4 separate regions of the Mus musculus genome follow, and all the other regions are reported to be linked to region 1. The links are microRNA targets in miRTarBase. Many come from high-throughput screens and were not tested one by one. Region 1 holds a microRNA gene; each other region holds the end of a gene's coding sequence. Distances are between the middles of the regions.

Region 1 (3,000 bases):
TTATCCTGCTAAATGTGATTTCTTAAACGTGTTTTCTGTTTTATTGTTTCCTGAGCTGTGGAGCCCTGCACACCTGTAATGGAACCTTATTTTCTGCTAATAAATAAAATTACTATTCATTCGGGTGATGGGAAACCAGTATGTCTCAGCTTTGCGGCATTCCCTCAAAGAGCCCCTGCATCATCACCTGGATGTGTCAGAGAAGCCTGGTGATGATGGTTGGGTACCACAGAGGCCAATCCTAGACAAGAAGATGTGAGAAAGGTGGAGGATTTGTCCATCACCAGGGGACCAAGAATTGGCTGGGAGCATTTGCACTAGAACCCAAAGAGACAAAGAAGACCCTACATGTCAGAATAACAGAGGACTTATCATTTAGGCTCTGGGAATGTCAGAGGCAAGATGGTCCCTAGAGCAGATAGAAAGACCTAGAACATGCTGTGAGAGTGCATGGCGGCCTCAGTTACGGCTGCTTTGGAGACTCTGGCTTGAAAAATGTCAGCATCAAGGGATTGGGGTTTTTTTTTTCCCTTCCCTTAAGAAAGCAGAAGGAGAGCAGCGCCTTGGAGGTCCCGTGGATCTGTGTCTTGCTTCAACAGTGTTTGAACGGAACAGACCCGGGGATTCCCACTGTACTCGCTTCCAGCCGCCTTTACAAGTCTCTCCAGTCGCAGCCTCCGGGACCATCTCCTCGCTGCCTTCGGCTCCTAGGACCAGTCTGCACCGTCTCTTCGCGGTTAGCTCCTACTCCGGATCAGCCATGACCTCTCAGATTCGTCAGAATTATTCCACCGAGGTGGAAGCTGCCGTGAACCGCCTGGTCAACTTGCACCTGCGGGCCTCCTACACCTACCTCTCTCTGGGCTTCTTTTTTGATCGGGATGACGTGGCTCTGGAGGGCGTAGGCCACTTCTTCCGCGAATTGGCCGAGGAGAAGCGCGAGGGCGCGGAGCGTCTCCTCGAGTTTCAGAACGATCGCGGGGGCCGTGCACTCTTCCAGGATGTGCAGAAGCCATCTCAAGATGAATGGGGTAAAACCCAGGAGGCCATGGAAGCTGCCTTGGCCCTGGAGAAGAACCTGAATCAGGCCCTCTTGGATCTGCATGCCCTGGGCTCTGCCCGCGCCGACCCTCATCTCTGTGACTTCCTGGAAAGCCACTTCCTGGATAAGGAGGTGAAACTCATCAAGAAGATGGGCAACCATCTGACCAACCTCCGCAGGGTGGCAGGGCCACAACCAGCGCAGACTGGCGCGCCCCAGGGATCTCTGGGCGAGTATCTCTTTGAGCGCCTCACTCTCAAGCACGACTAGGAGGCCTCTGTGCCTTCCAAGGGGCTCCCCCCTCTGCTCTGCACCAGCCCGCCCTGGGACCTCCACCTGAATGAACCTCTCAAGCCACTAGGCAGCTTTGTAACCGCCCTGGAGCCTCTGTCAAGTCTTGGACCAAGTAAAAATAAAGCTTTTTGAGACAGCAAAAAAAAAAAAAAAAAAAAAAAAGAAAGCAGAAGGAAAAAAAAACCAATCCTGCTTTGGAAATGTGGCTATTTTTATGCTGTTTGTAATTTTGTGTTTATTTCCTGTCCTTTTCACATGGACTCTGGGCTGACTCATTGATTCACCAAACATTAGTGGAACGCCCACTCTGTGTCGAAGAGCGCAGACTGCAGGGCTGGGGTGCAGCTGCGTCCTGAGCCTGAGCTCTGGAGCATTTCAGGGGCATCATGGGAGATCCAGGTAGTGATGACAACATGGTCTCTCACACTGAGGTGTGTACAGCCCACATCAAAGCCCTGTGCTTGGAGCTTCCTCGTTTTTCTATATTCTGGGAGAAGTAAGGAAGCTCAGGGCAGCTCAGAGCTGGGCTCCATGTCACACTGCAGACATGGGAGGGGAGCCCATCTCTCTCAGCTCCTCTTTGCTTCTGCCCTCCCAGCTTTCCTTGCCCCGCCCCTTCCGGTTTGTTTTCTACCAGGAATTCTTATGCCTCATCAATCCTCCACCCCTCCAGCCCCCTCCAGCCCCCTCCAACTTCCTCTAGCCCCATCCAAGTCCCTCCAGCTCCCTCTAGCCCCCTGCAACCTCCTCTAGCCCCCTCCAGCCTCCTCCAGCTCCCTCCAGCCCCTCCAGTCCCCTCCAGTCCCTTGCAACCTCCTCTATCCCCCTCCAGACCCCTCTAGCTCCCCCCAGATACCCTAGCCCCCTCTACCCCCTCCAGCTCCCTCCAGACCCCTCCAGTCCCTTCTAGCCCCCTCCAGCCTCCTCTAGCCCCCTCCAACTCCCTCCAGTTCCCTCCAGGATTCATTTTTCCCTTTCCTTGGACAGAATTCTATCTAACTTTTCTTTTTTTTTTTAAATTTTTTTTATTACGTATTTTCCTCAATTACATTTCCAATGCTATCCCAAAAGTCCCCCACACCCTCCCCCCAAACCCTCCCCCCAACTCCCCTACCCACCCATTCCCATTTTTTGGCCCTGGCGTTCCCCTGTACTGAGGCATATAAAGTTTGCCTGACCAATGGGCCTCTCTTTCCAGTGATGGCCGACTAGGCCATTTTTTGATACATATGCAGCTAGAGTCAAGAGCTCTGGGGTACTGGTTAGTTCATAATGTTGCACCTACTGGGTTGCAGATCTTTTTAGCTCCTTGGATACTTTCTCTAGCTCCTCCCTATCTAACTTTTCTAGAAGGGAAGAAATTAGCAGTGTGTGTGTGTGTGTGTGTGTGTGTGTGTGTGTGTGTGTGTGTGTATAAGAGAGAGAGCGCTGACCTATGCAAGAGTGCTTGGATGTCCTCCTTGGTAGTTTCTCTATTTAGTTTTTGAAATGGTGTTCCTCATTGAACCTGGAGCATGCCATTTTGACTGACAGTCTGACCCTGGGGCTGCTTGTCTCCACCTCCCAGCACGGAGCTGCAGATGTTTGTAGCCGTCCTGGCTTTTACGCAGCTGCTGGGCATCTGAACTCCCGGTCTTCATGCTTAAGCAACAAACACTTTACTG
Region 2 (8,524 bases), not on the chromosome of region 1:
TGTGAATGGATCCTAAGTTGGGTAAACCAATTCTCAAAAATTAACTTCAACACACCTGGTTTTCAGGGCCTTGGAGTTTCACATTAGTAGAAAGCTTCTATTGTCCAATGAGGCTCATTATTTGTCCTCAGAATTTCAAGACTCAGTGATTAAAAGATACATTTCCAAACACTGTGTACTGGCATGGATCTAGTAGAAAGTAAGTTAAATGCAGTAACAGTTCAGAAGAGAATTTTTAGCATGTTGTAGGGACTGGAGAAGGTTATTCATGGAAAAATCCATGGAGGAAATAAAAGAAAGGCTTGGCCTTGCAAATTTCAAACACATGGAAGGAAAGATGGTACGCCTGATGTCATCATTATGGGAATGAAGTGTCTCTGCATCTATGATTACTTATAAAACCATCAACCATGTCCTCTTCCCCATGCTTCTCAGAGGACTTTTCTCAAGCAAAAGGAAGGCATTTCTTCCAAGTGTATTGTTATTTGGAGGAGAGTAGTTTGATGGCTTCCCCAAGTGTTTTCATGTTGATTTTAGAGTGAACTTCAAGAAAGAGCCCTTTGTTTCTCAAATCAGACCAATGACACCATTAGCAGCCACAGAATGGTCAATGAAATATGTCCCTCATCTTGAAACAAAACCAACTGCAGGGAAGGCAAAGAAGACCTAAAACTAAGCAGAAAAGAGAGGTAGAGAAGGAGAGACTTCCAGAAACACAAGGTTTGATGAGAAAATACTTTAAGGGATTTCTAAGAACTGTCCACTTAAGAAAATCACTATTAAATTCTGAGATTGATCTAGAATCCTACATAGCATAATTTCAAAGGCCAGTCTACAGAAGCATTTTATGGAGCCTATTTCCATGAATTGCTGCATTTCTAGATCTTTGGAATCAGATGGAGGGAAGAGAAAACACAGCAGAAAAAAAAACAAAAAACAAAAAAACAAAAAAACAATCCTGCCAGGCTGAATGTGACCAGAAAAAAATAGCTCTCTATTCTGAAGGTCAGCTGGGGGTGGGGGGTGGTGAATGCAATATTCAACCCTCTATTTACTTTGTATGAGTTACCACATGGGTCAGATGAGTGGGTCCTTTACTAGTTTCTACTTCAACTTGGGCATGGAAATCAATATACCTAATGAATACAGTTCAAATAAATTCACCAACATTATTTAACTGTATCGATCTTGACAGGCACATACATACTTTCTTCCCTGCTCCATGGTTCTCATGGTCCTGTAAGTACAGACAGACAGACACATATATACACACTCATATACTCCAAAATCTTCTTTCCTGTTTACCAGACTTTTCCCATGCGTGTGTGTGTGTGTGTGTGTGTGTGTGTGTGTGTGTGTGTATGTATATGTATATATACATATTTTTTTTTCCAGACAGGGTTTCTCTATGTAGTCCTGGGTGTCCTGGAACTCACTCTATAGACCAGGTTGGCCTCGAACTCAGAAATCTGCCTGCCTCTGTCTCCCAAGTGCTGGGATTAAAGGCGTGCTCCACTACTGCCTGGCCACCCACTTATAATTCAACCATTTGTCAATTTACAGAAAAGACCTCATTCCCATTCCTTTCATACCCCAAGTCAACCTTTTCACTGGCTGTTATAGAAGGTCGCTCTTGGAGATTCAAATTCATTGAGAAAACATACAATTAGGTCTCTGGCTTCAGAAGTTTAGAGAGTAATAAAAGTGGCACTCTGGAAAGTGTCAGTGCTGAAGAGTTAAAAGAACCATTTTAATGCTTCTGTTGTCTGAAAGAAATGAACTTACACAGGGGAGGGTTTCCTTCTTTCACCCATTTTGCCAAATTCACAAAATGCTACTGCATTAAAATGAGTGAAAGAGCATTCCTGGAGTTTCTTAGCATGCCTGGACAAGCAGCTCTCTTACATCTCTAAGTATTAGTCTTGATTCTCTTTCTCTCCTTCTCTCTCTTTCTTTATTTTAATTTTAATATAATTAAGGTCCTTGTTGAAATAAATGTGAGACCAGTGATTCTAAAAGCAGGCCCCTTGGGGAATTACATTCCATATTTGAAGAAACTATGATGGAAGATCAGCTGATATGACGTCATTTCCTCACAGCAAGTTGAGCAGACTTCCATGCAGGGCCATCCATTTTGCCTATGCATCATATACAAACATGATTTTAAACTGTGTATGTACCAAACTTTAATTTTCATTTCACACTCAAAAGTTCTGTACAAAAAGAGGCAATGCAGGCAAAAACAAACAAACAAAAAGCCCAAAAAAACAAACAAAAAAATTACAATGACTCCGGCAAACAACATACAAGCGCTTCAAAGCCCCTTCTGATGTGCAACCATTTTTACAGGTGTACTATGACAATGGAGTTCTGAAGGCTGGGGCTGGCAAAGTAAAATCCCAATGTTAGTTATTAATATCTAAAACACTTGAGAAATGCCTACAATATAAGATTGGATGAGAAGTCTGAACTCTACTGCACAACTGGATCCCTAGATTGAGCAGGCTTTATCTTTCAAAAGCATAACATTATTTTGACAGAATTGTGATGATGCCTCACAAACTTAGGCTTGCCATTCTTGTTTGACATAATGATAATAACTAAGAATGTATTTTATGTCCATGAGGAATATATTAACTAAATATTTAAAAACACCCAACACCTCCTTCAACGTTGTTAGCTAATATTCTGGCTCTATTGTGTCATCACAAATAAAAATTTCTCTTTCCACCCAACTTTTGCTGTGAAAGCCTAGGTGAACCTCAGAGAAGCGACCATGCCAAAAGCAGCAACATGGCTGGGAAACCTCATTTTTACCTTCTTTCTTGCTTCAAATTAATTATCTGAGTTATAGAAAACACTTTACTTGAAAGCTATAAGATATCAATTATGAAGTATTATTAACATCGACATCATTGCTGGTACTTTTTCCCAAACAACCCGTGAGTGTTGGATAAATGTGCATGCAGCACGAAAGAGAAAAAAGGGGAAGAAAACCCAAATTGTTCAAGGATTCCCGATACCTACTGGACAGTCTGTTAAGAGTATTGGTCTCCCACCACAGTTCTGGAGTGGACTCAAGGCCCACTCCCTGTTAGTGATCACAGACACTCAGTCTGTCCCCCTGATGACCTGAGGCTATTATTTAGAGCCTGGGCTTCTCAAAATCCAAGTCCTGTTGAGTCTCATCTTGGAGATACTGGACTGGCTAGACTGAAGCAGACTGACAGCACCCATACACACATTTGGTCCCATTTAATAGAAAGTCTAACTAAGAGTTACAAATGTCCTAAGCTATTATTTATTTATTTATTTATTTATTTATGTATGTATGTATGTATGTATGTATGTATATTCTGACAGTTAATCCCTAATGTTTCCTTATGTAGCCAGCTGAGAGGCAGCTATGGTGTAGATACGTGGCTTGGGTTCATGGCTCAGGTCTGTGTCTAAGAGCCCAATAGAAACTGGGCAGTTCTTTGTTCTTTGAAATCCTAATCTCCTCTGTTGAGGAAAGAGCAAATGGACAAATGCTTATTGTGCATCTCTGCTCTTGTAGGCGTGAGAGTTGCCCAAATAAGCATTGCCTATGGCTGCCAAATAGAAAATCCCTAAAGCTGAACACTGGAGAATGTCTTACTGCCACAGGATTGTGTTTTCTAGCTTCCTCGAGATTTTGGAATTTCTAGGTTTGACAAGATCATGGAAGCCATCTAGCACAACTCTTAGAGAATGCTTAGGCCAGTCAATGGCCACATTTACTCTGCTGGTAACGCTCCAAGTGACAAAGTCTTTATGCTCGCTGTTGACTATGCTAACATAAGCTGGGGAACTGGTTCTCCCATTTGTCTGCATTTGGTTTTTTGAAATGAACCAAGTATCATCTTTCTTGGAGGACTCAAAGGAATGCTGGATGGCCACCTTAGTCTGGAAGTATTGCCTTGGGATGTTGCAAACCAAATAATACCACACCCTAATCATCCTAGACCTGACTTCCAGGATTATCATTCATTCAGTTGTCTGGAAAATTCTCTCCTTCTAGCAGAGATTTACAAGTAATCAAACAGGCTAGACTAAAAACTTCTCTACAGTGGTCCATAGACTCCATAGTATATATTCTTAGGCCACATGGTGATCAGGAAGAGTATAGTAGAGTCAGGTGGGAAACACTCAAGGATTTAGTTCTACGTACAACTCACCTTGTATGCCCATATCTTTTCATTGGAGGTCAGAATATGTTTCAAGATTCCATCCTAGCTCAGTTCTGACCTATAGGCAGAATGATTGCAGTCCTGAAGATATTGATATTCATCAAGATGGGTGGGGTAGTACTCATTGGATTTATGCATGAAGAAAGGTTAGTGTAGTGGCTCCTAGTAGCCTTCCATTTTAGATTTAAAAAAAAGATTTATCTTATTTCATGTGTCTCAGTATTTTTTTCTGCATGTATATAAGTGTACTGTGTGCATGCCTGATGCCCATAGAGATCAGAAGAGGGCACTGGATCCCATGCATCGGGAGTATTGGATAGTTGTGGGCCACTGAGTGGGTGCTGGGAATCCAATCCAGGTCCTCTGCAACAGCAACAGGTACTCTTAACCACTGAGCCATATGATGAAGGTGAGACAAAAAGTGAATTTGCCGAAGTACTCAGACTAGTGGGGGCTGACTCCAGGTAATTAGAAATCGTAGATTTCCTCTCTCTAAATTCCTCCAGTTTTCTGATAATGAACGAAGTGCTTTAGTTCTCAGCTCTGATATGAACAGTCCATTTTGATACAGAATGGGAGCTCCCATATTAAGACGGGTGGTGTACCTAGAACTCTGCAGACTCCTGGGAGGTGACTGATCTTAGTTATGATATCACAACCAGAGTTCCATTTATCTGTCCCTGCAGGCAGAGGGTTGACACAGATAAGACTGTCCTTATGCCAACTCTCTCTCTCTCTCTTTCTCTCTAATATTCTTTTTTAAAAAAAGAAATAATATTCTTAAGATAGTCACTTTTCTCAATTCTCCTGCAAGAAGCCCTCTGTCCATCCCATAGCCTCCTCATTAGCTGATTAAAACACAGACAATTTTCCTCTTGCAAATACTAAAAGGGAATGAAAGGGACACAAACCGAGACAGAAGGAGAATATTCAGATTAATAAAACACGTGCATATAGAAAAGCTGCACGTGAGGTTTGCAGGCGGCAGGAAGAGGGTGGGGGACGTGCTGAACTCAGAACTCTTGTGCGCCGCTCTCCACATGCAGTTTTCTTATCTTGGATCTTCTCTCTCTGTTCTCTGTCAGGGTAACAGTTGTGTGTGTTTCTTGTATCTGAGCCGACACAGGAAATCAAGTACTTTGTGTTTCTATAAACTATACTCCCAGAGAGATAAAACATCTAGAATTAAAACCATACCACAAGCGATTAAGAATTTCTGATTGTTACAGGTATCACTACAGGACTCCAGCAGCCAAGGTTGAAGTTTCCGAATCTGGCCCTTGGTGAAAGGAGTTTCGCTTCAGACATCAAAGGTAAGGCGCTCAAGTCAATTTATGCTCGGCTGGGTTGAATCAGTCAGGATACAAATTCAGGTCCATATATTTCAGTGACAAGAAGGAAATGGTTATGTAAATACACAAGTATTAACATCAATCTGTATTAAATTATGTAAACATCTACATCTTCTGAGGTCAGCATAGATCCTCCTCTCTGAGCAGGCCTCTACTGAAGCATCGCTCGAATCTGTTTGGAAGTCGATTCATCATTCAAGTGCTTTGTGGTGAACCTGAATGGGGAAAGAGAGTTTCATGTCAGGGCTTGCCCATTTGAAATTTGTAAATCCAACAGTGCGTGCTCGTTTCCTTAGAGAAGGACCCATAGGTTGGTTCTCATTCTATATACTTTCTGCAAGTTTTTATTTGACTTAGATTGGTTTTACTCTATGCTCCAGATTGACTCTCTGTAACCCATGATGGCCTTAAACTCAGGGAAATCCTCCTGTCTCAGCCTCCCTATTGCTGAGATCAAAGGCATACACCACAATGCTAAGCTTCTAATGAGCTTGTGTGATGATTATTAAAATCATTTTTTTAAAAATCTCATTAGATGACTACGCAAAGGGGACAAACTGATCTCATTTTCTCAGAGATAAAGTTCACAGCGCTTAGTTCAGCATCTTGTTCTTCGAGGCTGAGCAATTATGGCATCCAGAAATTTAGATGTTGCTGTCTATCTACTGTAGGAGCTGTACATCCTCCACTGCTGCTAGGGGCCACAAGTGAGGTACACAAACAAAAGTGCAATCTAAAGCATCTTATTCATTACTCAATCTCATGTGCAAAGGAATGCTAAAAAAAAAAAAAAAAAAAAGACAAAACCCTGTAATAAAGCTTTGACCACATGATACGTCAAAGGTCCTATTCCAGTCACAAATGTCTCTTTAAATGAGGTAAGTGACTTGATTTCACAGGTGAGTCAGTGGCTCACTCTGAATCTCAGAGCAGATGGGTTTGATTTGTGAACAGTCTGTGACTTTTGACTTGAGTCTACGTCTGCTGCCTCAAAAGCCTACACTCTTCCCAGTTCATCACAGATCTCCAGGAAATACAAATTCCCACACTGGGCTGGGACTAGTGGCTTGACACAATGCCCTGATCTTCAGGACGTTTTGGCAGCTAGATTGAAACTGAAAAGTTTCCGAAGTTCAGAAGTTAAAGACTTCTTAATGAATATTAAAAGCCAGCCTAGCTTGCTTGCAGTCTCCTTTGGAGAAAACCTAGGATTTAGGAGGCTCATAAGACACACATATTCTCAAAGATGATGAATTGGCAACTCAGAAAAATAGCAGCTTCGGTGTCTTGAGACTGCTGATTTCTTCGTCTGTTGAGGGAGGACAATAGGTCAGCCATGGTTCTAAGGGTTGCAGTGGTCCCATGTGCTGTGACTAGAGGTGGAACACTGCATGCAGAAATGAGTGCCTCCTCCTTTCTCTTAGATTTACCCAAGTTTACTGCAGGCATTTCTTACATCATCTGGAACTGAGGGGAACGAACGGCTAAGACATCAGGGTCCATAAGCCTTCCTGATTGAGATTCTGCAGGATGATTTGTGCGGTTCAGCAAATTCCTTAGGATGCAGCATAGCTAAAAATAACAACCTCTTTCTTGAAGTGGATTAAGCAAATGTATCCTTGGGAAAAGGGAATAGTGCCTAAGGAGTGGAAATAAGTTCAGGCATCCAGCAGTGAATAACAGGATCTCAGGTTCTCAGTTCTGAGAGTTGTATGTGGGAGCTCCTTGGGGAGCCAGGAAAACACATACACACACACAGACACAGGCACACACACACACAGAGACACACACACACACACAGAGACACACACACACACACACAGACACACACACACAGACACACACACAGAGACACACACACACAGAGACACACACACACAGACACACACACACACGGACACACACACACACAGAGACACACACACACAGACACACACACACAGAGACACACACACACAGAGACACACACACACAGAGACACACACACACAGACACACACAGAGACACACACACACACAGACAATAACACACACACACAGACACACACACAGAGACACACATATACACAGACACACACACACAGAGACACACACACACACAGACATACACACAGAGACACACACACACAGAGACACACATACACAGAGACACACACACAGACACACACACAGAGACACACACACAGACACACATACACAGAGACACACACACACACAGAGACACACACACACAGACACACAGACACACACACACACAGACACACACACACAGAGACACACACACAGAGAGACACACACACACAGAGACACACACACACACAGAGACACACACACACAGAGACACACAGACACACACACACACAGACACACACACACACCAGAGGTGCCTGAGTTGAGCTTCCAGGCCAGTGATCCAGTGATTTAATTTACTTGACCTCCAACCTCAGTGCCTATGTATCAACCCACGAAGCAAGGGTTGGGAGCCCTGGGTGAAGGCAGACATGAGAAATGGATGCTTTCCTTCTCAGAAGACTCCTCTGCTACCAGAGTATCTTGGCCAAGTCAAGTCTGAGATCCGTGGGTCCACTCAGATCCAAGTATAGGTAACTTGGCCCGTTACTGTTATGACATTGAAAAGTTATTTGAACATATGGTGGCTCAGGCTTTTAATTCAAATACTCAGGAGGCAGAGACAGGCAGATCCATGAGTTCAAGGTCATCCAGGACTACAGAGCTTGTTTGAGCACAGCCAGGGCTATGCAGAAACACCCTGTCTCGAAAACCCAACGCCTTAAAAAAAAGTTGCCTCATATTCTCCCATCTGTACAAAATGAATAGTAAAAATGGTGCTGACCTCCAAACCTTGCTAGGGAGAGGAGTGATGTTAAAATGAGTGGAGGGCTAAGACTGATAGGTTGGTGCTCAGACTCAAACACCCACATCTGCAATGGCCTGCAAGGGC
Region 3 (8,524 bases), 60 Mb from region 1:
AGGTTATTGTAATGCTATCAAAAAGTAGAACTGTGAATTGAACTGGAATATATTTTTCAAATCTAGTGACTGCCCCTTTCCTTCTTATCACCTCTCTGAAAATCAGACCGAAGCATCTGATTCATTCTTGATTTTTATCTCTGCAGGTCACTCCCTTTCCTATGTCCTGTGACCTACAAAATGACTGCGCCTGTCGAGACCCTGAGGCCCAAGAACACAACCGGAAAGATCTTCGGGGATATAGCCATGGCTAAGGAAAGACAGGTGTCAAAGATTTCCCAATGCCAGGACCCGCATCCCTCTGGTATTGATTTCACAGTCTGCTGCTCAATGAAATGGCCTCTCCACACCAGGGATCCTTAGCACCCAACCGGTCTGCCTTTAATTTCACCCAGGAAGGACCAACTGTGGGGCAATGAACTGAATCTCACCATGTTGAATGATGGAGTGGAATACTATCCTGTAGTCTAAGATGGATTGAACACACGGCATGTAGACCCAGAGCCTCTAAAAATTCTTTCCATTTCTCAAATGACCATAGCCCAAAAGAACAACAAAACGGTGTGTGTATCAAGGAGTATGCACATCTGTGGTTAGTACACAGGCATGCATGCACACCCATGCCAATGTCTGTGTGAGGGCAGAAAACAACTGGAAAAAAAAAAAGAACAAAATCCAAAAAATTCAATCTTTCATTTTCCAAGCTCCCAAGGAACACTGTCTTTGGGAGAAGTGGTTTATAGAAATTAAGACCAAGTACTGAAAAGCCAATACATCTCAGATTCTAAGGCTCAGAATATTGTGTAGTGCTTTGGGACTGGAAGTGAAATGGCTGTAATCACCAACCTTCTAGGGAACTAGGGCTTCCTAAATGGTAAATATTCCAAGGTGTGCAAAGCTCCCCAATTTTTTTGCTGCCATGGGGGTTTTGTTCCAACACCAGGGTGCAAGGTTGAGCTGGAAATGGCTTAGGACTGCAGAATTAAGGTATTCTATCAGCTCCCTGCTTGAGGCTTGAGGTCTTCATACCCCTTCCAGATTCCACCCATTTTCCAGATCTGACCTTGGGACCACATTTGCTGCTACTCTTCCTGCTGCTCTGTCCAATACATTGAGTGCCCTAAGATGGTAGAACTAGGTTACAACAAACTCCATATAACCAAGTAGACTGCCTCAAAAGTGATTCATATTTTCCCACAGTTCCTCACTTCTTGCCCATCTATAAGAAAAAAATATCCTTCATGGGCTTAAGTCTTTCATGAGTAGACTTCTCATTCTGGGAAAGAGTTGAGGGATGCCAGATGCTGGAGCCCTTCTGGAAAGTCCAGAATATCTAATCCAGTGTTGGATTTTCTAATCAAGTGGAACAGTGTTAAACTTGGAAATGCTGGAGCTACCCAGAGACTGTTGGAATAGCAAGGACTTAAGTTATTGTCCTTATCCCAGTCTTCCTAGCTCTCTAGGCTAGAAGAAGCTTTGGTCTTGAGACTCCCACTATTACTCCAAGCAGATAGAGTTGTGAAACATCTTGGACATTGGCGATGTCGACTGTATACTAGAAGAACATGGAAGGGAAGCCCTGGAGATCCAGACTGAGTACCCAACATAGTCATCATATTTTCCACATAATCTTTCAGATGTTAGGACATCTTTCCACATTCATTGTTGGACATCACTCCTTCCCCTCCCATATTTAGTCTTTAAATGTTAAGAGGAAATGAGTCAACTGTACATGGAAGCCAGCAATATATGCAGGGCCTTTTTTCCTGCCTCTTTTCATACCTATGTATATACTCTGAATTAATATGGGAAGAGTTAACACAGGATGATGTGGATAGAATAGCTAACTTTGACATAATTTATGAAAGGTGGGGCAGGGAAGCAATGATATGGAGGATCTAAATGAATTATATAACAGAAAGATGAATAGTACATCAACTGATCGCAAGTCTAGTGGAGATAACCAACCAATAAAACAAAGTCTGGAACAGAATGCAAAATGCCAGCCCATGTGTAAGCCACACTGCATCTAAGGCATTAATTGTTCAACTATCACATCCCTTTATCTACTAGGACCAACAGTAACTTAGCCAACTGTGTTTTCATATTATGACCAATAGCTTTTTCCTACTGATCAAGAACATTTTAAAAGGTAGCTATTGACCATCTGTGGTCCATAATATCAGGAAATGTACCAAGATGGTTTTGCACTGGTACCCACAATTATGGATATAAGTGCTTATATTATGCAGCTTGTCCTGTCCTTTAGCTTCTGGGGTTGAAGTCTAGAGTGGAGAAGTGGCCACTAACACAATGGTCAAGCACTTTGGTTCCTCCAAAAGCATATCTCATAGTGCATTTCCCCCTGGGATTTCTTGGACCAATCTTTATCAAAATATAAGAACAATTTTTTTTCTAGTAGCTGGCCCAATTATGATCATCTCTCCAAGATCCTCAAACTTTTGTCAAGCCTTCAGATTCCTCTTTTGCTCTGATGTGCTGTGTCAGCTTAGAAGGGACAAGCAAAAGAGTGGTGACAGGGCCATCCTTCCAGATAAGTAATCCAGAAACCTCCAAAGACCCAAAGATGACATTATCAATAGAAGAGTTGTAGAAACTAAGAAAGACCACAAGAATTTCTCCCAGTCATTCCTCATCCAAACCCTGTTGTCGATGTCACTGTCATCTGCTCTTATCCTTTCCAGCTGGGCAAAGATTCCCGGAGGCTGGCTCCTCTGTTAAGATTCATAGGCTGAAATGGGGGCGGGTGGGGGGAGCTTTCCAGGAAGAGTCCCATCCAGTTTTCTTCTCACCGCCATTCAAGCCTGTTATGAACAAATTCATATTTGCTGAGCCTAATAGATAAAAGAGGCTACCCAATTGGTAGCCTGCCTCATGCCCACAAGGGATGTGTAATTCATAAGGTCTTCTCAGACCTTAGTGCAGGACAGTCAGCTGTATTTTTTCAATGCACTGATTCCCAGTTTCATTTTCTTCCTGAGAATAAACTCCTTGTCTCATCTCCTCAGTCATCTGTTTTGGACAATGGGATAATCAGGAGGAGGCGGGTCTGAAGCACTATTGTACATCCACAGCTTAAGGGGCTCTAAAGTACTTGGGAGTTCTGCAGCTGAAGCAGTATGTCTGTTAGCAGCAAGGAAGCAACGAGGAGATGGACAGTTCTCTGAGCCCCATCTGGGGAACTGTTCCAAACCGCAACACACTGTCTGCCCGGAGGACTTGCATTACCCCCTAGATTTTGTGCCAACAGCCTCATGAGGGAAGTCAGTCAGTCCTTGGGAAGTCAGTGTGGGTAGGTGAGGTGGGGTGTAAAGCAAAGGAGAGATTAACAGTCTTAAATAGCAGGCCTTTGCAGAAGGAGGGAATCAGCTGCTGCTCTTGGCCTTAGCACACTGGACCTCTGCCGAGACTTTTCTGTCTCATTCCCACATTGGCCAATGCTTAAATGCTATTTGTTGAAAATAATTCTTTGGGACAGATTTCAGCTACCTCCCTTCCAGGTTTGATTTAACTTGGTTGTAACTGTCAATTTGTTAAAGGTCTTACCTGTGTGGATTTTTTTAAAAGAAATAAATAGAAAAAGACACGAAAGAAAAGAAAAGAACAGGAAGGAGAGCATGTTAACCGTTTCAGTGTGTGTATGTGTGTGTGTGTGTATCTCTGTGTCTTTATGTGTGTGTGTGTGTGTGTGTGTGATTTCTTTTTTTCTGAAACTACTTCAAGTGAGAAAATAAATAGAAGGAATTGAAGGTGACAAAGCTGTAAAGACTGAAATTAATAGGAGACAAAGTGATTACAAGGGACTGAAATGCATGGTGAAAACCTAAGAATATAAGCCCTATTTTTATGCTTCCTTGAGGACACTATTCTATAACTGAGTAGGTAGAGATGACATAGAGATTTCTCTAGAAGACTTAGAGTGGGATTCTATGGCATTGACTAACATTTGCTGAACATTGTGGTAGGTCCAGGAAGTAAGGCATTTTTGCCCTTGAGTTATTGTTAGCTAAGCATTGGTTCATTTCTTTAGTGACTGTCCATGGTAGAGGGGATGAAGGAGAGTTTCATATTGATTTTTACCAAATATTAAGGAAAGAAACTGGGTCTCTTTGTCGTTTTTACACTATAAGATATTTTTGTTTGCCAGTATGGCACTCAGAACCACGCTGCACAGCTCTGTTCTTAAGAAGCTGCTTCATGACCATGCAGGGGACCCCGTTGAATACTGAGAAAGAAGACAAACCAAGCAAACAACTAAATAGAGAACAAGTTTTCTGAAACACCTCCTTTTGTGATTCATTCAAGTTTTTCTAAATTCCTAGCTATCATTTCCTCTGTAAAAACAATGTAATAATGGTCAAGATAGAAGTTGATGTAGGTGGCACAAAGCTCCAGAATGCTTTTCTCCAGCCTTCAATTTACTCAGTGATCTTGGAGAAGTCATCAAATTGCCTCCATATTTGCCTCAGTTTCTCTTGCTGAAAAATGGGGATACAACTAGTTACCTACCTCACAGTGGGAGGGTCATGAGGCCCTGAGGATACTAAACGGACTGTCCAATCTGTAGAAGACACTACACAGCCTGAGGCAAAGGTCATAGGGTTCTTTCTTTCTTTCTTTCTTTCTTTCTTTCTTTCTTTCTTTCTTTCTTTCTTTCTTTCTTTCTTTCTTTTATTTCATAAAATGCACAGGCTCATTGCCCTTTTCAGAGACAGGGAGTGCTTGATCAACATTTCATGGCACAAAGCTGGAAGGCCTGGGTTACAATCCACCTTAATGAGTGTACTGGGGAATATTTACTCTTCAGATAAGTTTCCCCTGTGTTATTCTAGCTTTTACCAATTCAATGATTTAATCAAAATTCAATGGCTTCCTACAGTGTAAAAGTCAGTCTACTGTCATCTAGTTAATATTGGGGGGCACGTTTCCAATTTACAGAGTAAGAGGGTCTGGCATCTCTTCTCCAGTAGAATCCTCACTTCTCAGACTTAGTTTCCACATAATCTGGTTCATTAAGAGAAGAGATAACATTCTGAGTGCAAGTTGGGCTTCTTAAACTTCACACCAGCAGCCAGTGAGGAGAACTTTGAACAATTATTGAGTTGCTTTCTTGGGTCTCTATAATCAATAACCTATCTGCAGATATCTATCTATATAAAGATATTATATATAAATAAAAATTTACATATATATGCACATGTATATATAGCTGTACATATATGTGTGTATATATATACTTAAATGTAATATTTACAAAACTGTGATCTCGTCTAGAGAAAATGTATTCATATTACAAACTGCTCTTCCATATTTATGTATCATATTATACCTTTTTATTACTGTCATAATTATTGAGGGTATTTCTAATTATTATGATGTTAGAATCTGTTTAGCACCTTCTGGAAGCAATCAAAAATATGATTTTTCATTGAAGTGCTTAGAATCTGTTCTCATGAGAAATCTACTGGTCTACTGTAAAACAAACAAACAAAAATTTTAAAAAAATGAAAGAAAGGAAGAAAGAAGGAAACAAAAGAGAGAGAGAGAGAGAGAAAAGAAAGATTAAAGTAAAGTAAACAGCAAAAACTAAATACAACCCTGTTCTTCTTCCTGTACCTCATGCGCAGAAATGTGCTGCTCTTGTTTTGGGTTATTTTTCCTGTTCATGTGTTTTTATGGATCTAAGTTAAGTCTTTCAGCAATATATAAAAATGTAAATAGTTAACTTTATTTATTAAGAATGTCATCTTTTTAAATTTATATTTACACGATGGTTCATCTAATTTATTTTTTCTATACGGTTTAAAATACTCAAACATATTTTTCTGTTCATGGTATTTTTTATGCTCTTCTCATGGATTTGTGTTTCCATACTGTTTTCTCTGGTCTCAATTACAGGTTAGATCTGACACACACACATATACACAAATAATGTCAAAGACGAATATTTTGCCACTGTTGATTACTATACCTTAAAGTTCTATATTATGAAAATATATAATAGCTTGTCTGCTTCAGCATGTTGTTGTGTGGTTTTTGACTGTTATAGTCATATAGAATGGTCACGCGCGTACTCACACAAACACACTCACACACACATGCAAACATACCCATGAAATAACCTAAAAGGAAACGTGAGCTTATAATAAAAAAATTCAATAAAAAGCATGAAATTGAATTCAATATATATCAAGTGCTCTATATAATTCCTGAAAAGTATCTATATTTTGTACATGCAATAACTGGCAAATATTATTATACATTATAATATATTTCCATTCTATGACACTAACATATATACTCCTTGTCCTTATATACTGCTATTTGGACTCTGTCTTCAACAATATACTCTGAGAATATTTTTATTTTCATAACAAAAACACCCAAACAACAAAAATGAACACAACCTGTGTTCTGGATGTCACACTGTCATTGTAATCCTGAGCTCACTACAGAGGTTGATACTACACAAATCCTTATTTGGGTTCTTCAAGATTACATCCTGGATCAGGATTGAGGGGCTCGTTAGGATGCCTCTCGCCCTAAGGAGCTATTGGCAGTTGATGGTTACAGGGACAGAGGGATATCATTTTCTTCAGTGTTGTAAGAACTGGCAAGGGGCCCATGCTCCTTAACCCTCTGTCCAAGCTCATTGAAGCAAACCTCATTAAATAAATGTGAGGACCAACAATATCCACAACAACAACAAGTGAGAAAACTAACAAGAAAGAAGGGCACGTGCAGAGTCGGGGAGGGGAGAGAGAGTGAGGCATGGATGGGATCACCACACAATGTATATGTATAAAGTTTCAAAATGATGTTATGTGAAAAATAATAAATTAAAAAGTATGAACACTTAACTAGCCAGTCCATCGTGTGAGCCTCCACTGAGACTGAATATTGCTGCTTTCTCTCTATCTAGGCCATTTTCTTGTTCATCCACCCCCAGCTAGTAAGTAGCTATGCAGTCTCTGGAAAGATATTAAATTGTTTTAAGGTTCTGTTTTGCTATCTGTGAAATGAAAATAAAATATCAACTTCATAATATTCTTGAGTTCTTTTTTGAAGATAAGTTTTTCAGTGAATGAGAACATTATCGGACATGGGTTGCATTGGCTCTTGTCAGGTTGAGACCAAAGCTGCTTATGACAAATACCAATAACATAATTAATTTTACTGTTGATCTTTTTTTTAACATATTTTCCTCAATTACATTTCCAATGCTATCCCAAAAGTCCCCCACACCCTCCCCCCACCCCACTCCCCTACACACCCATTCCCATTTTTTGGCCCTGGCGTTCCCCTGTACTGGGGCATATAAAGTTTGCCTGTCCAATGGGCCTCTCTTTCCAATGATGGCCAACTAGGCCATTTTTTGACACATATGCAGCTAGAGTCAAGAGCTCCGGGGTACTGGTTAGTTCATAATGTTGCACCTACAGGGTTGCAGATCTCTTTAGCTCCTTGGATACTTTCTCTAGCTCCTCCATTGGGGGCCCTGTGATCCATCCAATAGTTGACTGTGAGCATCCACTTCTGTGTTTGCTAGGCCCCAGCCTAGTCTCACAAGAGACAGCTATATAAGAACAATATACCTTGAAGTCATGATACTTGCATAGGCATTTCAATAACAGTGGCACTGTACACTGAGCTGTTGACTGTCAGCTCAAAGTATGTTTCTGTATACTGATGCTTAAGATCTTGAGTTTTGTACAAAAAGAATTGTTTGAAGGAACATCCATTGGAATTATTTTTGAGATCATGATAAGGCAAATCAGGTCTATCCACAATGTATTTTTGAAATCATTAAAATACAATATATCAAGAAACACGAGGGAAGCCACTAAACCAACCAACAAGAAACATTGCTAAATGCTCCTCTACTCCACAACTAGGTTTGTTTGTCTCTTTCCAAGACAGGTGTTCTCTGTGCAGAGTGGTCTTAAACATTAAGATTAAACTGCCTCTGCTGTGATTAAAGGTACACCATCATGCCAGGATCCTTAACTAGTTTTTAATGATAAGGTTCCTCTGGCATATTTTCTGCTCTACAGTTATATCCAGTTCACTATGAAAAAAATTATAAAATAAAATTTATAGGATGACTTCATAAGTAGAAACAAATATTTCCCAAGTCAAAAGGTTATACTCTATGGTGTTGATATAGCTCAGTATTCTGCAGAGTTTTGTCTGAAGAGACAAAACTTCTTTGTAAGCTCTAGCTTACAAAAAGTTAAGAATGACTTCTTTCTAACCCAACAGAAAGAGAAGAGGAGGGGAAGAAGGAGGAAAAGAAGCCAAATGCAGAGTTAACTGCTTCTTTATGGCATTTAGTGGGGATATGGCTTCAAATCAGGCATAAGTGTTTATCATTTACAGTTAAAGCACAAGATCGGGGTGCATTCTGTGATGCTATAATGCCATTAGCAAATTACTGAGTGGCAGGCATCAGAACCTAGGATAAAAACACAGCCTGTCTGGTATTCAACTCAGGGACCCTTCA
Region 4 (8,524 bases), not on the chromosome of region 1:
TCTATTAGCCATGTATATCTTTAGCACTTTGAAACCTTCCTGTTTTTTTCTCTTTTCATGTTTGTTAACCCTTTCCCACAATGTGGCTGCCTTGTGACAGCACCCAGGTTCCCATGAATGTATCAAAGGCTGGAAGATGGATTGTGAGCAATATTGGCCACTATCTGTGTCACTCATACATGAACAGATGACTGCAGCTGTGCTTCTTTTACTCATTAAGTCTAGAATTTCCAGCTAAAACTTCATTACATTTCCTTTCTCTCCAAGACTGGGCTGTTCGTTACTCATAAAGCTTATCTTACTTACTTTTGCCTCCTTCTGCTTCTTAATATACCTTTTGCATTTTAAAAAATGTGTGTGATTGGCCAGTACATTTCTCCTTCCAAAGAACAGTTGGCCTTTATCCATTATTTTAAGATTTTAGTCCTTTCCATTACTAATCAGATCAGTTTGTGAGAAGGTTCAGGTCTCAACCAAATAGTTTTTTAGTCTCATAAAGTTGAGGGCTTCTGATAGTTTGAGTTTAAAGAATACAATTGGGGGTTGGCTGGGGAGATGGCTCAGGGGGTACTACACAAGGGTAAGGACCAGATCTCTTGAACACACTTAAAAGCCTGATGCACCGTGTGGTGACCCTGCTGTAATACTAGCACACAAGAGGCAGGAGGAGATGGGAAACAGCCAAGCAGACTGGCTGGCTAGCCAGGTCAACCAAACTGGTGAGCTCCAGATTCAGTGAGAAATCCTGCTTCGATACAGAGAGTGCAGAGTAACCCAGGAAGACACTCTCCAAACTCAGGCTTCCGCATGTGTGCACAGGAACACTGCAAGTGCGTTCCTGCACTCACATGAGCTTATAAACATGCCAGCCTGCACATACCACATACAAGATTTTACACAAAGAAGATATATAACAGGAGTCCTTGACATCCAGACCTTTCGATCTCGGACACAGGTGACATATGGAGTTAGATAACTATTTTTAGAGAATTGCAAAGTGTTGAATAGCATCCTTAGCTTCTCTACCAAGTAAAACCAGCAGTGTCCTGCCCCAATTTGCAGCAAGCAAAAATGCCCCTAGACAATGTCCTCTATGGGAACAGGTAATAAATTTCTTCTTCTTTGCAAACTAGTGCTATAAAAGATAAGAAGCTGCAGTCTGGTGCTGGAGAGATGGCTCATTGGTTAAGAGCACTGACCATCCTTCCAGAGGAACTAGAATCAAATCCAAGCACCCACTTAGCTCATAAATGTCTGTAACCCCAAGATCTGACACCCTCATACAGACATATACACATTCGGGCAAAATACTGATGCATATAAAATGAAAAATTAATTAATTAACATTTTTTAAAAAAAATTGCTGCCATATGGCCTTATATCCTCACTGTCAATACCAAGATTAAAGTTCTGGGCACTATGCCAACTTACCATATGAGGAATGATTCATTGTAGGTCCCTGGAATAAAGACAAGGAGATCAAGGCTGGTTACTAAGAGTGAGAGAGCAAGTTGAAAGGCATGTGATTAAAGGATTGAACTGAATCATCCAGAAGCCTTAGACTCGTGTGTGTGTGTGTGTGTGTGTGTGTGTGTGTGTGTGTGTGCGTGTGTGTGTGTGTGTATGTGTGTGTGAGTGTGTGTGTGTGTGTGTGTGTGTGTGTCGAGGGGCTCTTGATCCATAACTAGGGTTTTTAATCTTCTGAAAAGGGTTTGGAGGTGATGCTTCACCTGCCTAGCATTACCCAAAAAAAATGTCAATCTTTGGGGAATCATTTTGTAGAAGCAGGTCCATTTTGGCACCGCTGTTTGACACAGCTAGTTTTGATATCTGACAGTAAGTAAGGGGCACATTGCAGTCAACAAAATGGCTAAGTGTTTCAAAAAAGAAAAAAAAAAGATAATGTGTCTGTCAGATGAACATCTCTGACATGTCAGCCTCCACCCCAGATGAGGAATGGCACTGAGAATTTCAAAAACGAAACTGGCAGCTGAGTGTTTTATTATACTGGGACAAATTGTTCCCACAACCAAACGTCCTCAAACCAAAGTGCCTAAGTCAGAACAGCTGCCTCAGACAGGCTCACGCCCTGTTTGAGCTGCGGCACAGATGGAGTTGCGTTAGCCACTTCTACTGCCTCTTTTGTATAAATGTGACACATATTTCAGTTCCTAGCTGCCTTACAGCCATGAAACTTTAGTACACAGGGCCACGAGCTAACACTTTGGAAGCACCCTCAAGTGTTCCATCCATCACTTTTGAGCTATAGAAGTTTAGGCAGATCATTTAATTTCTACCTTTGTCTTAACATCTGTGAAATGGGATCATAAAAAGCACCTGTCCCTTAGCATTAACTAAGTATATATATATATATATATATATATATATATATATAGTGAGACTATACATGATGTGCTCAGTGCTGTTTTCATCTTTATTATGATTGTATCATGACATAACCAATAGGCTATTATTCAGCTTTGTACATGGCCTTTCAAAGCTATAATGATCGAAAAGATGGTGCTAAGTAGCTAAAAGCTAATAGATGCTATGTCCTGAAGTTCTGAGGCTGCTAATGATAGGGAGGCCTAGGTCTAAATCACAGGTACCACTGAGTACCCTGCTGTCCCCCTCTTAGGCTGGAATCAATGGCTTCCTCATGGGAAGCTGTGCTATTGGGATTGTGAGAACACAGATTTAGAAATGGCTATAGAGAGATGATTTCATCTTCCCAGGACTGTAGCTGGTTGCTTTGAGCTTATCTTCTAATACAAAATTTCATTTCATAGGAATCATAGGGAATAAGGAGCCTATGTGGGTCCCTACAGGATCTCTGCTAATCTTAAATAATATTGTAGGTTATCTTATACACAGTTTAATTCACTGTGTTCAATTGGAGTTAGGAAATGGGACCTTGAAAATAAAAAAATAGCTTGCTTCGCTCTCCATTTTGACTGTTTCAGTTTTTTAAAACTGTCAACAGGAATTTTGTTTCTGATCATCCTCCAACTTGCTGTGCTTACCATCACGGACCTTAGGGAAGGAATAAAAATAAAATATGAAAACATAGGATGGGTACTTTTAAAAGATTCATTTCTGGCATGCCTATTCAACATTAATGTAAAGATGCTACTTGCTTGGTCTTGAGTACTTTCTGTGGCTACTTCATGAGACCAACTTTGATCTTCTCCTATCTAGGCAATGCATCTACCGAGAGGAATGGGGTTTCTTTCAGTGTTCAGAATGGAGACGTGTGCCTTCATGATCTCACTGGCAAACAGCATATGTTTAGTGACAAAGAGGACTCCTGCAATGGTAAAAGCCGGATAGCGCTCAGAAGGACTTCGAAGCGGGGAAGCTTACACTTTATCGAGCAAATGTGATTCTCTTCTTCTAAAATCAAAGCATGATGTGGATGGTGTGAAGTGTCCAGTTTTCCTTTAACACAATGTGAGATGTATGAAAAGCGCTGGTTTTCTATTCAGCAACCTCGAAAGGAACATAAGCTAAATGAGGGCAACCAGTTACTATCAGAAGAAACCACGACTGGTTATGGTTTCTAGACGTTTGCAGTTTGGTTTCTTATCTCTCATTTTCAAAGGCATTGGTGTTAAAACCACAGAATAAGATCCAGGAAAGAAAAATGAAAGTTTGTTTCCACTCACATTTTAAAGAGGCTGTTATCCTTGATAACATCCTAAGAAAGAAGGAAAAAAAGAAGGAAAGAAAGAAAGAAAGAGAGAGAGAGAGAGAGAAAGAAAAAAGAAAGAAAGATGTTTACTTCAGTCTGTTGGTAAGTTTAGTTGTGCATGCCTTTGTTGTATATAAGCTAAATTCTAGTGACCCACATGTCAAAAAATCTTCTCTTTACCTTTTTTTATATTTATTTTCTACTGTGTAAATTTATTCTTTTGTAGAATCATGGTTGTGTCGCCTTCTCTAATGTGATAACTTACCAGTGACTTCTAAACCTCCTTTAGAAGATCATATAGGATGTGAAATTCAGAAACTTCACTGAAATCAAGAAATAATGATAAAGGCAGTCTGAACAATTATAAATAGACAATTAGCTCAGAAAGTGCCTTTGAGCAATCAAGAAAAGGTGCCCCCACTGGGCAGATATAGCCTTGTGAGCTTATGGTTTGGAAAACAGTCGGGCCACATTTTAGCCCTGATGATCCTCCTGGGTACCTTATGCAGGGTCCTCATGAAGGGTCCTTATGCAGGGAATGACTTGTATGACTATATGTGACATGAAATAGTGATACCAATGGCCAGACTTCATCCCTAATGACCAGATTATAGAATCTCTACACCATGGTTGTTAGAGGCTAAAACTGTAATCTAAACCATGTTAGGAAAATCGTGATGGTAGAAAAGATACACACTGCCACTTCTCAAATACCCAGAGCCTTTCAAAAGAGGGGATCAGAGTAGGATTACTTTTCCAGAGTGTATATATGGCAAACAAAGTAGGTCTTTAAAAGACGCTGCATGATATGTTATTGTTGCAACTGCTACATTCTGGTCCAGTCATACTTGTATGTATTTTTAAAAACATGTCAAATCTTGAAGAGTGTATAGTGACAAGGGGGAGCAGCTACTGGGAAGAGTGAATTATCCTGTGATATTGTTGTTTGTATGTAATAACATATATCCAACCTTGATTGTTCCTAGTTCTAGAGGGCCTATCCTATTTCTCACCTTTACCAGCTTGAGTGGTGCCTCAAGCAGTGTGATTATTAGGAACATTTCAAAATCCTTTAGTTAGGTCTTTCACTAAGGCTCCCTTGCATATATTTCAAATAAATGTTGTATCTGAGACTAGCCACAGTAGTAACATCTGTTTCTGTGTGTGCTCATTGTCTTTGCAAAATTCTTCTCCAAATTATTTAATTATTTTGTATTTATATGTTATGATTGACAAAACTGTTAAAAACCAATAAAAATCAATTTGCAGTTAAGTCCTTTAAGTTTGGTTTGCATTCTTTTTCTCCAACCCTACCCCCTGGCAGCGTGGCATGGAATGGTGGAACATACCCTCTGAAGATTTGGACTGTGGCATTAGAGAATGGCTTGTCCTGCTTCGTGACAGTGGTTTCCAAGGGCTATTGTCTATCTTATCTTACTCTTTCAAGAGATACTCTTTAACGTGTGTTGCCACTGACCTGTAGGAAATGTATGAAATGTTCAGACCCCATCCAAATGTCTGCTTCCTCAGTCTCCAGCAGTGGGTTTTCAGGAGAATGAAAACAAGATTCAAGAGGCTTTGTACATAATAATATATATCGAACTCTGATTGTTCCTAGTCCTAGAGGGTCTATATTGTTTCTCATGGTGTCTCAAGCATAGTATGTTTAATAGGAACATTTCAAAATCCTTTTGTTAGGTCCTAACTAAGTGCCATCTGCTAGTTAGCATTTGGAAGCCACAACTGGGGAAAGCAGCCTTCCCCCAGATGAGAACTGTCTGAGCAATCTTTCTTTCCCAGCGTCTCAGCTCCCACAAAGAAGCCATTGATTGGAAAGGTGATGAGACACTTTTGATTTGAGGGTGGGGGTAAGGGGGGAGGGATGAAACCTTGGAAATCAACCTCCCAAAGTAACGTACATACCAGAGTACACCTAAAAAGCACAGTCAAAAGTCCTTCAGTTCCCACCTTCCTTACCTTTTGTATTAGGGCCCTTGTCCGGTCCTTAAGCTAAATTCTCTTGGCTATTTGTTGGTTTGTAAATTCAGAGAAATAACATGACAAGACGGAGACAGAATGTTCCTGAGGAGTAACCTCCTCTGGTTTTAAAATTGGAGACTGTTTTAAGGAAGACAGAGGAGCTACTATTCTTCAGGAAATGTCGAAGCAGTGCCCGGCATCTGAAGTGTTTCCTCAATGCACTGGAGAAATTTCCCCCAGAATTCTCTAGAATCATTGAATCATAGGAACTTTGCTGCCTTTAATGAGCTGTGCCTTTAATGAAATGACGCAAACTGTTCCACTCGGTGAGCTGGCTTGTATCTAACAAGGTCACCTTGGAGGAAGGTGTGTTATTTGAAGGGTATTTCAATGGAGAGTTAATTTACTGAATGGCATACTCACCAAGCAGACTTGTTTGGTGTGACTTTTGTCTTCATAATAGCAAGAAAAGATGATTCAGTTTATCTCTATCTCATCTCCTCCTTGGGGTCTGAGGGACAGAAACCAGGAGAAGCTGAGTAAGTACAATAAAAACATACTATTGGGACCAGAGACATGTCTCAGAAGTTAAGAGAACTTGTTGCTCTTGCAGAGGACCTGGGTTTGGTTTCAGGACCCACATGGTAGCTCACAACCATCTATAACTCAAATTCCAGGGGATCTGACAGCCTCTTCTGACTTCCACAGGCACCAGACACGAACACAGTAGACATACATACATGCAGGCAAAATACTCATGTGCATAAAAAAGATTTTTTTTAAAAAAGGAACAAAATTGGGTCAAAAATTCTTAGGAATATATTCATTTATTTCTCACCTCAGTTTCCAGATATAACATCAAGAAATCAGAGCATATAAAATTTAAATATATATTCATATGGAATATTGTATTATTCAGGGTTTTACTGCTGTGAACAGACACCATGACCAAAGCAAATCTTATAAAAAAAAAAAAAACAAACAACATTTAATTGGGGTTGGCTTACAGGTTCAGAGGTTCAGTCCATTATTATCAAGGTGGGAGTGTGGCAGCATCCAGGCAGGCATGGCCCAGGCAGAGCTGAGAATTCTATGTCTTCATCCAAAGGCTGCTAGTGGAAGACTGACTTCCAGGCACCTAGGGTGAGAGTATTAAGCCCACACCCACAATGACACACCTACTCCAACCAGGTCACACCTATTTCAACAAGGCCACACCTCCAAATGGTGCCACCCCCTGGTCCAAGAATATACAAACTATCACAAATATATAGCCTTTAAAATAATATTTTATTAATTATTTGAGAATTCCATATAGTGTATTTTTATCATGTTTACCTAGATAGCTATATAGCCTTGTAACCCTGGCTGGCTTGCCTCAAATTCAGGACCTTCCTGATTCAGTATCCACAAAGATGGGATTACAAGTATCGCCATTCCTGGCTTTAAAATATATGCTTTTAAAATATATTTAATAGATACGTTCTTCACTATGAAGAAACCCTTATAGTCCCTGGTATGTCCTCTCCTTGACTCTCAATCTTATATAGCTGCAAGAAGTTGGAGCAGAGACAAATTTAACATTCTTTTACACTATGGTAATGGGAAAGTAAAATGATTCCAGGTCATCTAAACTAAATTATTACAGAAATAGTTTAATTTGGTTAACTGGTTAGTTTTTTCAAGTTGATTAAGAATGGACCCTCCCAATTCAGAGACAGGGTACTTTAGGTTCAAAAGACATGATATTTCCACTTTGCATGCTGTCCTCTAAGACAGAGTCTTAAGCTTCCAATGAGAACACAAGCCATCCTAAAAATAAGCAATGATGCCACCTTTTAAATACAGAAGAATATATGAAATCTCCAGGAAAGGTACATAGAAAGATTACTAAAGGGATTCAATTATGGTAATTGAATGCTTAATCTTACTCCCTAGGCCACAGCAACTCCTACATGGAAGTACATTGTGCACTGTTTCATAACTTCAGTGCCATTATTAAAACAAATAATGAGTTGAGAAAAGAATGGTAAGAAGATATGAGGGGAACTGCCCAATGTAAAACATATACATGCACCAAGGCTTGAAAAGAATGTTGAAAAGTACTCGAGCTGGGTGTGGTGGCACGTACTCAGAATCCCAACACTTTGGATGCCGAGGAAAGAAGTATTGCTGTGAGTTTGAGGAATAGTCTTGGATACATAATATAGTTGAGAGCAGCCTAGGCTACATGACAAGACTCTGTCTCAGAGAAAAAGTATGTGGGCTGATAGGGGTTGGGTGCTTTAGTTAAAGACTAACTATAAGGGGAGTCAAATAAGCAGGACTCATTTTCAGTCCATCAACATTGAGCCCTAGACACATGTACAATCAACTCTGTGCCAGGTGTGGTGGGAGATACCAAGCTATTTCATAAGCATCTCATAATCCAGTTAGAAAAGTATGCCTCAGTTAAAATGTAAACAATACACTATTTCCAAATGGTGCTGAAAATAGCTCTGGTTTAAGTGCCACTCTGAGTCAAGTATGTGCTACACGCACTTGACCTTGTCACATTACAAGGCATGAGGTTTACCCCAACAGATAAAAACAGTAAAAGTCAAACAACTGAAACAGTAACACAAATGTCTATATAAATCAGAAATGGAATAAAGTGCAGTTCGAACTGACTCGTTGCCCCATCTTTACTGAGGAAACTGCTATAGGAATCCAGAAAATTGGAAACGCTAATGAGTGGGCTGACCTAGTCTTTAAGGCAAAGGTAAGTTTTAGACAATGAAATGGGTCAAAGTGGAGAATAACAAAGTGCTTGTGGAAGCAATTACATTAGAACAGCTGCCCAGTCAAATTTAT

The links. The annotated mature microRNA mmu-miR-692 reads AUCUCUUUGAGCGCCUCACUC and lies in region 1 at 1,278-1,298, shown strand. An mRNA with a match to its seed (bases 2 to 7 or 8) in the 3' UTR can be bound and repressed. Matches are read on the target gene's strand: a 7mer-m8 pairs with bases 2 to 8, a 7mer-A1 pairs with bases 2 to 7 and ends in A, and an 8mer does both.
Region 2: the mRNA of Cyria is a reported target of mmu-miR-692. Seed matches in the 3' UTR shown: 7mer-m8 at 4,947-4,953, 8mer at 2,720-2,727, 7mer-m8 at 1,946-1,952 and 8mer at 1,927-1,934.
Region 3: the mRNA of Pappa is a reported target of mmu-miR-692. Seed matches in the 3' UTR shown: 7mer-A1 at 5,036-5,042 and 7mer-m8 at 5,554-5,560.
Region 4: miRTarBase lists Adgrg2 as a target of mmu-miR-692. Seed matches in the 3' UTR shown: 7mer-m8 at 3,735-3,741.

Annotation. Positions count from the first base shown.
Region 1 is chr4:125,503,528-125,506,527 of GRCm38, forward strand. Mir692-2 (microRNA 692-2) reads left to right here and starts at 1,222; the gene lies at 1,222-1,330. The region is part of intron 1 of Grik3 (glutamate receptor, ionotropic, kainate 3); the gene reads left to right. It also overlaps the pseudogene Ftl2-ps.
Region 2 is chr12:12,370,001-12,378,524 of GRCm38, reverse strand. It overlaps Cyria (CYFIP related Rac1 interactor A), which reads right to left. Exons shown (of 12, transcript NM_001146119.2): 12 at 1-5,778. The coding sequence ends at 5,715. 4921511I17Rik (RIKEN cDNA 4921511I17 gene) reads left to right here. Exons shown (of 5, transcript NR_045829.1): 3 at 5,441-5,524. Among named protein-coding and RNA genes, the nearest start is that of 4921511I17Rik, 18 kb to the left of the region's middle.
Region 3 is chr4:65,351,472-65,359,995 of GRCm38, forward strand. It overlaps Pappa (pregnancy-associated plasma protein A), which reads left to right. Exons shown (of 22, transcript NM_021362.1): 22 at 147-6,038. The coding sequence ends at 254. Among named protein-coding and RNA genes, the nearest start is that of Pappa, 230 kb to the left of the region's middle.
Region 4 is chrX:160,493,107-160,501,630 of GRCm38, forward strand. It overlaps Adgrg2 (adhesion G protein-coupled receptor G2), which reads left to right. Exons shown (of 28, transcript NM_178712.4): 28 at 3,199-4,970. The coding sequence ends at 3,383. Gm15241 (a long non-coding RNA gene) reads right to left here and starts at 6,712. Exons shown (of 4, transcript XR_387097.4): 1 at 6,679-6,712; 2 at 6,095-6,182; 3 at 1,432-1,459.